2 linked regions of the Yarrowia lipolytica genome follow. The protein of the gene in region 2 binds, or shares a complex with, the protein of the main gene of each other region. Links are inferred from orthologs where the notes say so. Each region holds a gene or a part of one and is shown on either strand. Other genes may lie near its edges. The genes, in order: YALI1_F21426g and YALI1_D30097g.

The links.
Region 1: the proteins of YALI1_D30097g (region 2) and YALI1_F21426g are in contact, whole or in part, in a cryo-EM structure (PDB 7EGM), measured with the Saccharomyces cerevisiae proteins. The link is inferred for Yarrowia lipolytica from reciprocal best matches to the Saccharomyces cerevisiae genes SNF2 and SWI3. Residues at the interface, in NP_014933.3 of Saccharomyces cerevisiae: Pro485, Val486, Gly487, Ile488, Asp489, Thr490, His491, Ala493, Thr494, Tyr497, Thr499, Ile501, Ala502, Leu503, Asn504, Leu505, Asp506, Thr507, Thr508, Asn510, Asp511, Lys515, Glu527, Asn528, Tyr531, Asp532, Tyr534, Ala535, Leu536, Gln537; in NP_012359.1 of Saccharomyces cerevisiae: Gly421, Leu422, Phe423, Pro424, Phe425, Glu426, Pro430, Ser431, Val432, Gln433, Leu434, Pro435, Asp436, Met437, Leu440, Lys441, Met444, Leu514, Lys516, Val517, Lys518, Ile519, Leu520, Lys529, Gln533, Leu536, Lys537, Ile539, Gln540, Gly543.

Annotation. Positions count from the first base shown.
Region 1 is NC_090775.1:2,140,908-2,145,528, reverse strand, and holds YALI1_F21426g (uncharacterized protein), read right to left. Parts: upstream 2,906-4,621; coding exon 542-2,905; downstream 1-541. Other genes in the region: YALI1_F21453g (uncharacterized protein), read right to left, coding at 1-196. UniProt on the Saccharomyces cerevisiae protein: Involved in transcriptional activation. Component of the SWI/SNF complex, an ATP-dependent chromatin-remodeling complex, which is required for the positive and negative regulation of gene expression of a large number of genes.
Region 2 is NC_090773.1:3,007,874-3,015,781, reverse strand, and holds YALI1_D30097g (uncharacterized protein), read right to left. Parts: upstream 6,090-7,908; coding exon 5,892-6,089; intron 5,211-5,891; coding exon 426-5,210; downstream 1-425. UniProt on the Saccharomyces cerevisiae protein: Involved in transcriptional activation. Catalytic component of the SWI/SNF complex, an ATP-dependent chromatin-remodeling complex, which is required for the positive and negative regulation of gene expression of a large number of genes.

The sequences.
Region 1 (4,621 bases), on a different chromosome or scaffold from region 2:
CGCCCGCGTCCAAAGAAATCTCAGAAGGTACACTGAGACTGAAATTGTCCAAGTCTCCAATCAGAGAATTCTCCACTGGTTGAACACGCGGCGGAATCTCAGGATACTCGTCGTAGATACTCCACGGCTCCTCGGCGGAATAAACGTTCGAAAAACTCACATCTCCAATGTACTGGTCTAATAGTTTGTCGATCATGGTTGAGTCGTGGCAGGGACACTCCGATCTCACAACGCATTATATAGAGAAAGAAGAGTAGCTAACAATAGCAGTATCTCACGACGGTACAAACGTTTGTTTTGTTTTTGAAACCACATGACCCGTCAATAGACACAATAAAACACTCTCTACAGTGTCCCGATGACCAGTCATGAGGATATGCAGCACAGTTTGGCCAGCAACTATCACCACTTCGCCATCGTACTATAGCCAAGTGAGTTCTCGCTCCTCTCTTGACATCAATTAAACAATTTATTAATATACAACCATCTTCACCGTTAGCAACACGCCTCCCTGTATTCCTCCTCATCTGTCTCCCTAGACCTAAGCCTGCCAGAAAGTAAAGGTCTGCTTCTTCTGGGTCACAGGAGTGACATTGTCCAGCGAGTTTTCCACACAACTGTTCTCCAGCGCCTGGTCCTGCACAGTAGGTGCAAACGACAGCTTGGTGGCTCCCCGCACAATGGAACGGGCCTGGTCAATCAGTTGCTGGTTCTTGGTCTCCTCAGCAGCCTGTGTAAGCAGATTGTCCACCTGCGACACCTTTTTGTTGAGCAGCAGACGCTGCAGGAACACCTGCTCACGCTCCATCTGCAGCTGCCGTCGCTCCATCTCGATGATGCGCTCCAACTCGGCAAACTTTTCCATCTTCATCTCCATCTTTGTGGCCTGCGCCTTGGTCAGCTCAAACATGTCCCGGTACATTTCCTTCTCGGAAAAGTCGGCAAAGACCTGCGCCTTGGTGCCCAGGGTAGAGTAGCCCAGCGACGTGAGCGTCTCAAGAGGCACGTCCTTGATGGAGGTGCCGGCATCGGTAGAGTCAGATGCTCCCGGGGGATACAGAGCTGGGTCATCATCAGAACCCTCCTCCTTGACGGCGTCCTTGTCGTCCTTATCTCCTTCTCCACCTTCCTTCTCCCCACCGTCCTTACTGTCACCATCTTTGGCAGCAGCAGCCTCCTTATCCTTCTTTTCCTGCTCTCGCTTTCGTCTTCGCTCCAGCAGCTGTTGCTTCTTTTGCTCAGTCATTTCGAGTTTGAGGGTCTTTCGAATCTCCTCCACACCTCGACCGGTCATGGCAGACACCACAGTAGGGTCCACAAGACCAGTCAGGAACGAAACCACCGACAAAACAGGGTTATCCACATGGTCAAACGGCAGGTACTTGGGACTCACCTGAAGAGGAGACACCTTGATGTCCTGGCCAGATGTAGACGCTGAAACATCGCCACTCTTGCCCAGATACTTGTCTTCGGTAGACAAGGAGATGAACTTGAGCAGACACTGCTCCCGGGTCTTGTTGCCGACTGTCTCGGAAATGGCGGTCCAGTCGTTTCCATGCTCCTCGATACCGTTGAGCAGGTTGTACACCTCCCGCTTAGTCCATTCGGGATCGGACTGCACAAATGGCTCAACCTGGGGAGTTGTGGGTTCGGGTTTGACTCGCACTGTGTCGCCCTGGGTGCCTACCTCGGCCCCACCCTCTTTACTGCTGGTATCCTTGTTGTCGTTGCTGTTGCCACCATCCACAGCATCGGCAGTATCATCACCCTCCACCTTCGGCTTTTTGGCCTCAATCGAGCCACCCTCCTCGATGGAGCCGTTCTCGCCAGCCCGTTTCAGGAAACGAGTGCCCCTGTATGCCTGGAAGGGGAACAGACCACGTGGCATGTCCTCAGTCACCTCCCAGTGGCCTGTAAAGGGAGGGGCAACCATTTGGGGTCGGGCCTCAATATCAACCTGGTAGTTGATGAGACCCCACTTTTCGAGAAACTGGTGCACTCTCATGATGGCACACACGTCGCCTAGCAAGTTTCGTCTCACAGCAGTCACAGTTAGGTACTCCGTGGGGTGCAGTCGGTAGGTGTTGATCATGAAAGCACGGTACCGCTTGTACACCTCAGGTGTCTTAGAGTTGTTGCGCTGATTGAAGAACTCGGGAATGGATTTCTTCTCTATCGAGTGGATGCGGTTCACGTTGAACCAGCTGGCGTAAGACGGGATCACAATAGTGTGCGCCTGGGGGATGTAATCGGGCACCGCGTTTCGGGGCACGGGTGGTGGGGCGACCACGGGCTTGGTCTCCTTGAGTTTTTGGTCGTCGGGGATGGCTGTGTCTGCGTCAAGCATCTCCGAGTCAGCCTCCTTGTCGTCCCTGGGCTCTGCGGAGGCTTTGGGCTCGACTTTGGTGGTCTCGGCGATTCCACCGGTGGCCTCCCACTCAGGCTCCAGGTCCATGTTCCAGTCATCCTCCTTGTCGTCCTGGTCCGCAGGCATGTAGTCTACATCCATACCATCTGAGGGCAGTGCCGGTGCAGGTGACGTGGCAGCAGCAGGCTCAGAGGTCTCAGGCTTGGGTTCAGAGCTGGAACCGTTTGCTGCACCATCTGCATCTGCACCGTTTGCGGCCTCTTCAGCAGTGTCAGTGGCAGTAGTAGCACCCTCAGCAGCAGGAAGACTCTCGGTAGTGGAAGAGGTGGTCTCTGTAACAACAGCACCGTCGTTAATTGTGTCTGTGGCGGGCTCCTCGGTCACAGTGGTGGGTGGTGGTGGTGGTGGGTGGTGGGTCTCCACAGGAAGCCGTAGCGTCAACAGGAGTATCAGCACCCGCAGGAGGTTCAACGGGTGCAGTGTCAGCAACAGCATCAACATCGGGGGCAGGCTCATCACCACCTGCCACGTCAGCATGAATCACGGGCTCGGCATGCTCCATCGACTCAGCCGTGGCCTCGGTGTTGGAAGTCGCTGAGGTTGCGGTAGTGGGCTCTGTGATGGAATTGTTGTCGGTCGTATTGAGGTCGTCGACGGGCGCAGCGGCACTGGAGACGCCATCGGTCGACGTGGGGGCGCCATTGGGGGCGTCTGCGCTGCCGCCGGCTCCAAAATCTCCCTCGGAAAACATGTTGTGTCGCAAAAGTCGGGGCTGTCTTCACGCGTACAACTGCGAGCTGTCGCGTATACCGTTTACTGTTGTCTGGCTTGTGCGACTTCGGCAGGGTAACTCCAGAGGTTAATCTGGTAGGGGAGATTGATATCGGCGAAATGTATGTTTTCTGGCGAAGAACTTGGTTGGAAATCAATGGGATGGAAATAAACAGTTTTTTTAAATCTGCTGTTGAAATTTCTCACCCATTGACCACCTGGAACCACATGTTATCAAACCCATCCGTTGCAGAGGACTGCTTACGTCAGCAAAATAAAGTTCAACGTGAAATTGGGAGAGGCTGGAGAATCGTCTCGATTTGATAATTGCACTTGGAGGAGTGTGTGACGCATGTAAGGTACAGCACAGGGACGTACGATACACGGGCTAAAGGGTGATAGGAGGTACATTACGTGATATGTGGAGTAAGTCACGTGGGTATTAGTGTCTTTAGAGTTCATTTTCGTTAATTGGGATGGGTATGTCACGCTTGACCATTGAATCATTTTGAGGGTATTATTTCGACTTCCCAATAACTAAGCATGTGAGATAAAATGCGATAAAATGCGATAAAATGCGATAAAATGTGATAAAAAGCGATAAAAAGCGATAAAAAGCGATAAAAAGCGATAAAAAGCGATAAAAAGCGATAAAATGTGATAAAACAAGACAAAAATAATAACGAGACACAAATAGATGCAGGTGTGTTAGATACAGACACAGACGAAATTCCCAGTCGAGTTACCATCTCAGAACATCTGCACCATACTTGAGGAACTACCACCTGCCCGGCACATGATATCACCACAGTACTTGTACTCATAATGTACTGTACTCATAATGTACTTGCCGACAGCGCCGGATAGAAGAAGACCGTTCGATGTCATATTTCAAATGTCCTTGCAATGTTTGTGGATCATCTCTACTTACCTCCATTTCTGACAAGTTACAAAAGTTTCATTCACTCCAAGAAACGGGCTTGGCAACGCTCAAAAAGCCCGACTAATCAATAATGCCTGGATCGGGACACTACATTCCCCGACATGCATCCGAAAGGGATACGACAAGAGCAACGGCAATGATGGGTCACGTGGACCGAGGAGAGTGGCACGTGTGTGGTCACGTGATTGCCACCTCCAATCCGCGCCTCTTGAGAAAGTTCATCTGCCCGTTGTCGGAACCCAAACACTATACAAGAGGCGATCAAATTGTCTTTGATCTATTACTTGTGATCTTCTAGACTTCCCCACAATCATGGAAGAGATACCGCGATACCGAAACCTTAAAAAAAGATGGTACAAGTAGCGACATGGATCTTTTTGGATGTACAGGTGATGTGTGTGTGGGATCTCATTTGAGATGTGGGAGGTTGGAATGAAACATGCAAAGGGTCTTCAATCGATTCTCTCAACTTTTATCCAACTATTGGCGGCTCTAGAAAGAGCATCCATCGTTTACATTGTACGACAAAGTACAAGGAT
Region 2 (7,908 bases):
GTCGGGTGACTGAGCTCTATCAAGTCACCAATTCATCTCAACTAATTTCCTACTATTAAAAATAAAATCTTCTTGATTTCAGTTAGATCAAAATATGGGCACTGCTTGGGTTTACTTAGCTTAAAAAATTGCCCAGGCTAGTCTGACAAAAGATATTTTTGAGTGAAAGATGACGCCTGATAACCTCCTCCCTTATCCCCGAAGATGCCTCAAGGCACTCTGGCACCCTGGCACACTTCACGCTCCTCTCCGCTTGATGTTCATCCTTACAGCTCACTCGGTGACGCTCACACAGACGAGTGTCAAACTCACATAGCTACGATGCATGCATAGCAGAACTACTGCTCAGGTCTACAGCAGAGTGGGTACTCACTACGGCTCCTGTCTTCAGTCCACAGCTCATAATCCTAATAATACATTCTCTATCACTCGTGTTTATAATCGTCACCCACTCCAAAGGACCCTCCCATGGTAGTGAAATCGCCCAAGTAGTTGTCAGTAAACTCGTCCAGATGCATATCCTCCTGGATACCGCCTCCGAGTTCGTGGTGCAAGTCGAACCGGGAGTCGAACCCGGGAGAGTTCATGTCGCCGAGGTGCATTCCGGGGGCGGGTGCAGCTGGCTGTTGCGGCTGCTGCTGTCCGTGGCCGTTGTGGAGATTCATCATGTCCATGGGGGGCAGATGCATCGCCTGAGAAGGTGCAGCTGGCTGGGCTTGCACGGGTTGAACAGCCTGGGGAGGAGGCTGCTGAACAGCCTGGGACACAACTTGGGGTGTAGGAGCAGGAGCAGGCACCTGTTGGGCTACCTGAGACACCTGCTGAGGAATCTGAGGCTGAGACACCTGCTGGGACTGTCCGGAAGACTGGCCCGACTGGCCAGAAGCAGACGAGGGGCCAGACTGTGTACCAGACTGAGTCTGGCCCTCCTCCTTCAGCGCCCTCGTACTTTCCACACCCTCCATTGTGCTGGCCTTGTCCAACAACGCGTTATGCAGCGCCACTGCATCCTCGTACACAAACGAGCCCTCCTCATTATATTGCTTCGCGTTGGCAAACATGAGGGCAAACTCCTCAAGAAACTGATCCAGGCTCTGGTAGTACGAGCTCTGGATTCGCTTCGAGATCTGGGCGCACGAAATCGGCTGCTTAATGAGAATGTAGTAGTCTGGGTAGTCCGTCTTGCTGGGTAGCTCCAAAAACAGATTGATTCGGGCCCGGCCAGTCGAGTCCTCCACATTCAACACGTGGTTGTACAGCGTCTTCATGATGCCCAGCAGCGCCTTTCGAGCCTCGGGGGTCAGTGTGTCCTTGGGTCTACCCCTTCCCCGAGCCTTCTTCTTGGGCTGCTCGTCCTCCACCTGCATCATCGGATCCTTGGTCTGCTTTCGAGACCGCTTTCGCTTGACTCCGGGAGAATCAAGGTCCTCCAGCTCGTCCAGGGGAGACGCAGTCGCAGCTGCAGCGGCCGCACCACTCTTCTTGGCCTGCCGTCGCTTGTTGTCGGCCCGCTTCTTGGCAATGGTCTCATCCATGTCAACGTCATTGTCGATAGCCTCGAGCCACTGCTCCTCGGTGAGTCCATCGTCGTAGTGCAAGACCTTTCGCTCTCGGGCTCCACGGCCAAATTGGTCTGTGTTGATGGGCTCCACAGCCAGCTTGATGTCCCGCTTATACGCCTCTGGCAGCTCCTCTTCAGTGAAAAGTCTTTCAATCTTGCCCTTGCCATACTGGGACGTGGCGTGTCGTTCCGCATCGAGCTGCGCAAACAAGATTCGCTCCTCGTCATTTCTAGCCAGAATCTCGTTGAGCTCCTCGTCGTCCACGTCATCGTCGCCCTTTTCCTTCTGCTTTTCCTCCCGCTCAAGCAGACCTCGCAGGAACGCCTCCTGCTCCTCTGCTGTCGACTTGTTATCAAACTTACCGGCCTGAATGACCTTGCCGTCGATATCCAGCTTCTTGTGCGCCCTCTCGAGAATATTTTCTTCAACAGAGTCTTCGGTGATAAGCCGCAGGATTCGCACTTCCTTTGTCTGACCGATTCGGTGCGCACGGTCCTGAGCCTGCAGATCCTGATGGGGGTTCCAGTCAGTGTCGTAGATGATGACTGTGTCGGCCGTCTGCAAGTTCAGACCAAGACCTCCGGCTCGAGTGGACAGCAGGAAGGCAAAGTAGGGCGAGTCGGGGGCATTAAACTTCCCAAGCAGACCGGATCGGTCCTCGGACTTTGTTCCACCATCAAGTCGAAGGTATTGCCAGCCCTTGAGCCGCATGAAATCTTCCATAATATCCATGATCTGCGTCATCTGGAAAAACATGAGAATACGGTGACCTGCAGCCTTGAACTTGGGCAGAATTCGGTCCAGGAGCTCGAATTTACCTGCAGTTCGCCACAGGTTATCGTTTGTCAGTCGGTTGGGGTTCACCAGATCTTCAACCTCCTCGAACACAAAGGGATGATTGCAAATCTTTCGTAGCTGCATGACCTGGTTGTTTAAACCCTTCAATCCGGTCTTTGTAGCACCCTGAACACCCTCACCAATAAACAAGACATTGTGTTTGATCATCTGCTGGTACAGCTTGGACTGTAGAGCGCTCATCTTGCACTTGAGCACCTTTTCCACCTTGTCAGGCAGATCCTTGGCCACATCCTTCTTGAGACGTCGCAGAAGGAATGGTCGGAGGACTTTATGGAGACGTTTGATGATCAGCAAAGTCTCTTCTTCGGAAAGATCCATCTTGTCCTGGCCACCAGTAGACGCAAAGGGGGTATTGAACCACTCGTCAAACGACTTGACCGAGTTGAAAATCTTGGGCAGCACAAAGTTGAGCAGGGCCCACAGCTCGGGAAGCGAGTTCTGGAGAGGAGTACCTGTCAGAATGAGTCGGTACCGGGTGTGGTAGTACTGAGTCAGGGTGGACGACAGCTTGGACTGCGCATTCTTCATTCGATGACCCTCATCAATAATCATGTGGACCCACTTGATTCGAGACAGCACAGGCCGGTCCTTGATGATGTACTCATAGGTCGTGAGCAGTACCTGGAAGTCTCCGGCTCGAATAGCGTTCTGCTGCGCCTTACGGGCCATGGGGGGGCCTTTATAGACGAGCTTTTTGATAGCAGGCGCCCACTTTTCGAACTCGAGCGTCCAGTTGGTGAGCGTGGAGAGTGGGACAATGACCAGGTAAGGTCCAGGAATCTTCTTGGTCTCAATGAGATAGGCAATGAGCGAAATCGTCTGGATTGTCTTTCCAAGACCCATCTCATCGGCCAAGATACCGTTCAGGTTGTTGTTGAATAGAGAGAGCATCCACTGAAGACCCTTGATCTGATATTCCTTAAGCTGACCACCCACAAGCATATCGGGCTGTTTGCTGACGGGTTCCTGGATTCGATGAGCAACCGCATAGTAGTCGGCCTTCTTCTGGTTGTCGGGATCCTCGTCATCCATATCTTGTTGAGGACCAAAGTCGACGTGATTGCCGTTGCTGTTGTTGCTCTTCTGCTGGTCCTTGACAGCCTGCGCAAGCGAGTCCAGGAACGTATTGGTCTGTCGCAGTAGATCTGTGATACGCGTGTCCTTGGTCTGGTCAAGCAGCTTGATGTAGGCTTCCTCGTCGTTGGCCCGCAGAGCCTGCAGTCGCTGCTTGGCGTTTCGCTCCATTCGCTTCTGCTCCTCACGCTCAGTGAACACGTGATAGTTCTGACATGCCTTGGCGACACGAGCCTGTCGTAGTCGTCTTGAACGAGATGCGTTGATTGTGTCCTGCGCGTGCTTGCAGATGTGGATGAGCTGCTCGGACCGCACTCGCACCTCGTGTCGCTGGCGCTCCATGAGCTGCTGCGTGCCAAACTGTTCGGTCATGAACGCTTCCTGGAGCGAAGTCTTCTTCATACGTGTGAAGTAGATCTTGTTGTAGGGATCCAGACCGACAGAGTTGAAGTAGAACGTGTCAGCAAGGAGATCGCCTCTCCAGGCCTTTTGGTGGTCGATTAACTGCAGTGATTTGAGCTCGATTGCGTTGTCTAGTGCTGTGGTGTCATCGGAACCAGTTGAGTCAGCAGACTCCTCGTCGACTTCCTCGTCAAGCTCTGGCACATCTAGATCACCTTCCTTGAGCTCAGTAATCCGATCACTAATCTGCTTGTTAACCTGCTCCTCGTACAGATCTTTGATCACCTCGGCGTCCATACCACGGGGCATAATTGATGGAATAAAGGTTCGACGCTTGTCCAGGAACGCGGGAGTGGTGATATCATCGAAAGAAAAGGTTCCCTCCAAAAGGAGACAGGGATCCTTGTAGCCAGAAATGGTTTCTGGAGCAGCTGGAGGAGGGGGAGGGACAGCGGGGGCTGCGATGGGAGTCACTCCGTCGATCTCCTGTTTGGACGATCGTCTCAGGCCAGTCTGAGAGGGAGTTCGTCGCTTGCCCATGCCAGGAGAGTTTGTATCGGAAGACACGGCCGGTGACTGCGACCGGTTGGCGTTCTGGAACATGGGGCTCTGAGGAATGCCAGCGGGCGACTGCATCTGCTGAGCCATCGGGGGTTGACCCATGGAAGGCTGCTGCATCGGGGGCTGCTGTTGTTGTTGCTGAGTCATCTGAGGTTGCTGCTGCTGCTGCGGAGGCTGCTGCTGGGGCTGAGTCATCTGAGGAGGCTGGCCAGTGGGTCTGAACAGCGCCTGAAGCACCTGAGGGGGAATGACAGCACCCTTGCTCAGCTGTCGGTACGCCATGAGCTGGTTCTTCATCTGCATGAGCATGTCAGGTGTGTATGGTGAGTTCTGTTGCTGTGGCTCCAGGTGGGGTGTGGGCGACTGCCGGGGCATGCCCTGGGCACCCACGACACCGGGCTGATTGTGGGGCGGAACGGGAGAGCCGTTCATACTCTGCATGCTGCTGTTGGAGTTCTGGTACATGCCTGCAGAGGAGGGTTTGCGCTGTTGCTGGGGCTGCTGGGGTTGGCCAGGCGAGGGGAATTGAGGAGTGCCCATCTGGGGCGTCATGTTGCCCTGGGGTGTGCCCTGCTGCATCTGCTGCGGCTGGCCCATGGCCTTCATCCGGTGCTGCTGCTGTTGCTGCTGCTGTTGCTGCTGGCGGAACATATGCTGGCGTTGCGAGTACGCTTTGAGAATTTTGGAGAGCTCGACGAACTCTTGGGAAGAGCTGGCGTTGGCTCCGAGACGGGTCTGGAGTTCTTTGTAGCGCTGGGTTAGTAGAGGAACGAGTAGTCATACGTCACGAGAAGACCATTGAGTGAGGCAGTCACGGTGGAAAACGACGATATGACGTCGGACATCATCTGTAGACTATAGACACGACTGGTGTGTCAACAACGCCTACGACAACGGTGCCTTTAGCTGCTGAAAACACAGAGATATTTGGTAGTGCCAATGAATCATCACGTCGATGATCATGCCTGTGCCATCATTGACGACGTCGACGACACCCGTGAACAACAGTCCTTGACACGTCAACGCGGCACCGTCATTGTTGTGATGACATCGTTGCACCGAACATGATGCATCGACATCCATGATCACTATAACAGCTATAGTCGCGTCGTTGGTTATAATTGTCAACGTCATCATCGTCTCTCGAGGTGTGTCTGAGATCGCGTCTGGAAGTGCCCGTCGTGGGTAACTCATCATCATCGATGATGTGTCGACGACGTCAGTGGGATCGATATACTGCTGACATCATTCACACGCGATAGATTAAGGTCGTCCATCACGTCGTCCACGTGCATCTTTCTGTCCAGTTTCATCATGTCCCATCGTGCACTTGACGAGACTGATAGCGTTGACGTTATCGCGTACTGAGAGACTGGCAACTTCGCTGCTCGCCCTGCTCGCTTGGCTCGCTCTGCCCGCGCTGCTCATACTCACCGCATAAATCCTGTTCATATCCTCCATATTTCGCGGCGGCTGCACCGCCATATCCATCATCGGAGTTCCCGGACCCTGCCTGTTGCCAAAGCTAGGCGATGGCGTAGCCAGATCGCTCTGCGCGTCCATCTGGCCCATGCCCGAGTCCATCATTCCGTCCATGAATCCCTGGGGACCCATGCCCATGTCGCTTTGCATGTTGGGGTATGAGTTCACTGTGTTAGACGAGGTCGTCCTGTCGTGGAGCGTGTTGCGTGTGCTGCGTGCTGCTACTCACTAACGCGTGTCACGTGATGTGCTGAGCGCTCGAAATGCTTTCCGGCTTGTCACTCTTTGTAACCTCGGTAGCTATGCTGTGTGGAGCGTAGTGCGTGGATGGGGGGGGAGCGGGCGCACCAGAGGGTTGGGGATTCAGTCTTTTGCGCCGGCGGACGACTCCCTAGTGTGGCAAACTACGTATTGGGTAAGCAGGGCGCAGGGTACACTTCCCGAACTGGGGGTGTGGAGGTCCAGCCAATGGGAGGCCGTTGGGACAACGACGTGTTGTAGCGACCCACCCAGCGACAACTAACGTGTCTCTTTTGCAGGCCAAAGAGGGGACTACCAACCGGTATTTTTGCCTCTGCCCAATTTAGCCAAAGATAAGATAAAACCTGGCTTCTGTCTCTTCATGTGAGTGTGGATTCTTGTCCTTGTGTTTTGCTTTTTTTTAGAGTTAGGAGCTGTGGCGAGCGCATGACGACGAGAAAACGCACCCTACGATGGGGACCGGGTTGCCTGTTGGGGTGGCGCCAGTGTCCCTGTCCTTGTGTCTGTGTGGTCGTCTCCCGCGAGTATGTATATGAGTCCAGCTCGCTGTTGTTTCCCGCCTTGTGTTTCCCACGAGTCTTCTCAGTTCTACCTTTGTCCGGCCTATCATTTTAAGGTGCTGCCAAAAAGCCCCATAAACTCTCACGGGTGTCAGGGTGGGTATTCCCTGGGGAAGGGGTGGTGTGAGGGCAAATGTCGATGCTGTGGGCGGCATAGGGGTCGCCTGGGGACAAAAAGTAGAGCGGAATAGCCAGCGCGCCACGACGGTTCGAATGGTACCGCTCATGTGGCAATATCTCGCTCCCCCAGCTTTTCGGATCCTCCGTAAATCACGCGATGTGTGCATGCAGTTTGGAGCAAGCGCTACAGCACCTCACACTTATGGACGAGGCGAATAGCTGAGAGCGGTATGAGTAGGGGGAAGAGGGGCGGGAGAGGAGCGGGCGGAAGTCCGAACAGAGGGCGTTGGTAAGAGTGGAAGCCCCAACTGGACTGCTCTTTTGTTTCTTGTTTTGTCGTTGTTTTGTACTCGTCATGGTCATCTCTTCTTTTTTTTTGACCATCTTGTTTTTTCCATCGACTTTTTCTACTCGCTCGTACTGTATGCCAACGTTGCCGCTTGCTTCACCCTCCATCTCTCCTAAGCTTGGGGATACAGAGGGGGACTATGTAAGGTCAACAACAGCAGGGTGTTGCAGAGACACCATACAGTATGTACCAGTAAACTTGTATACCAAGCGACAAGGCGGTGGAGTGGGGTGGAAGGTGTCTTGATACCGGTACCGTACCGTGTTCAAGGCCGGATTGAGCGACTTGGTGTCGTCAGAAAGTCGCCGTATTCTCTTGTAAACGCTCATTTCCGCTCCCCATTTCCGACTCCAAATCCGCACAAAGACCAGCCTCGGTCGCCTCGCATCTCCCGGCCTAAGGCATGTATTTTCGCAGCTTTCGATCTATGGTAGATCCGAGCTAAAGGTGCACAGAGTTGTGTGGATGAGGCAACAGCCAGACCGATGCACAAGTGTGTGGAGAGCGGTTGGGCCGCGTGGGTGTGTTTCCAATAGTCTATGGCACGTTGGGGCCCGTCTTAGTCCCCTTTTCAATCGGCCTTTTTCAGCTCAAACTTGCGACAAGTACTAACACTTGTACGCCATCACCTCTGTATAGCCTTAACTCTAACCAAGGTGGACACGATAAATGGGGGACA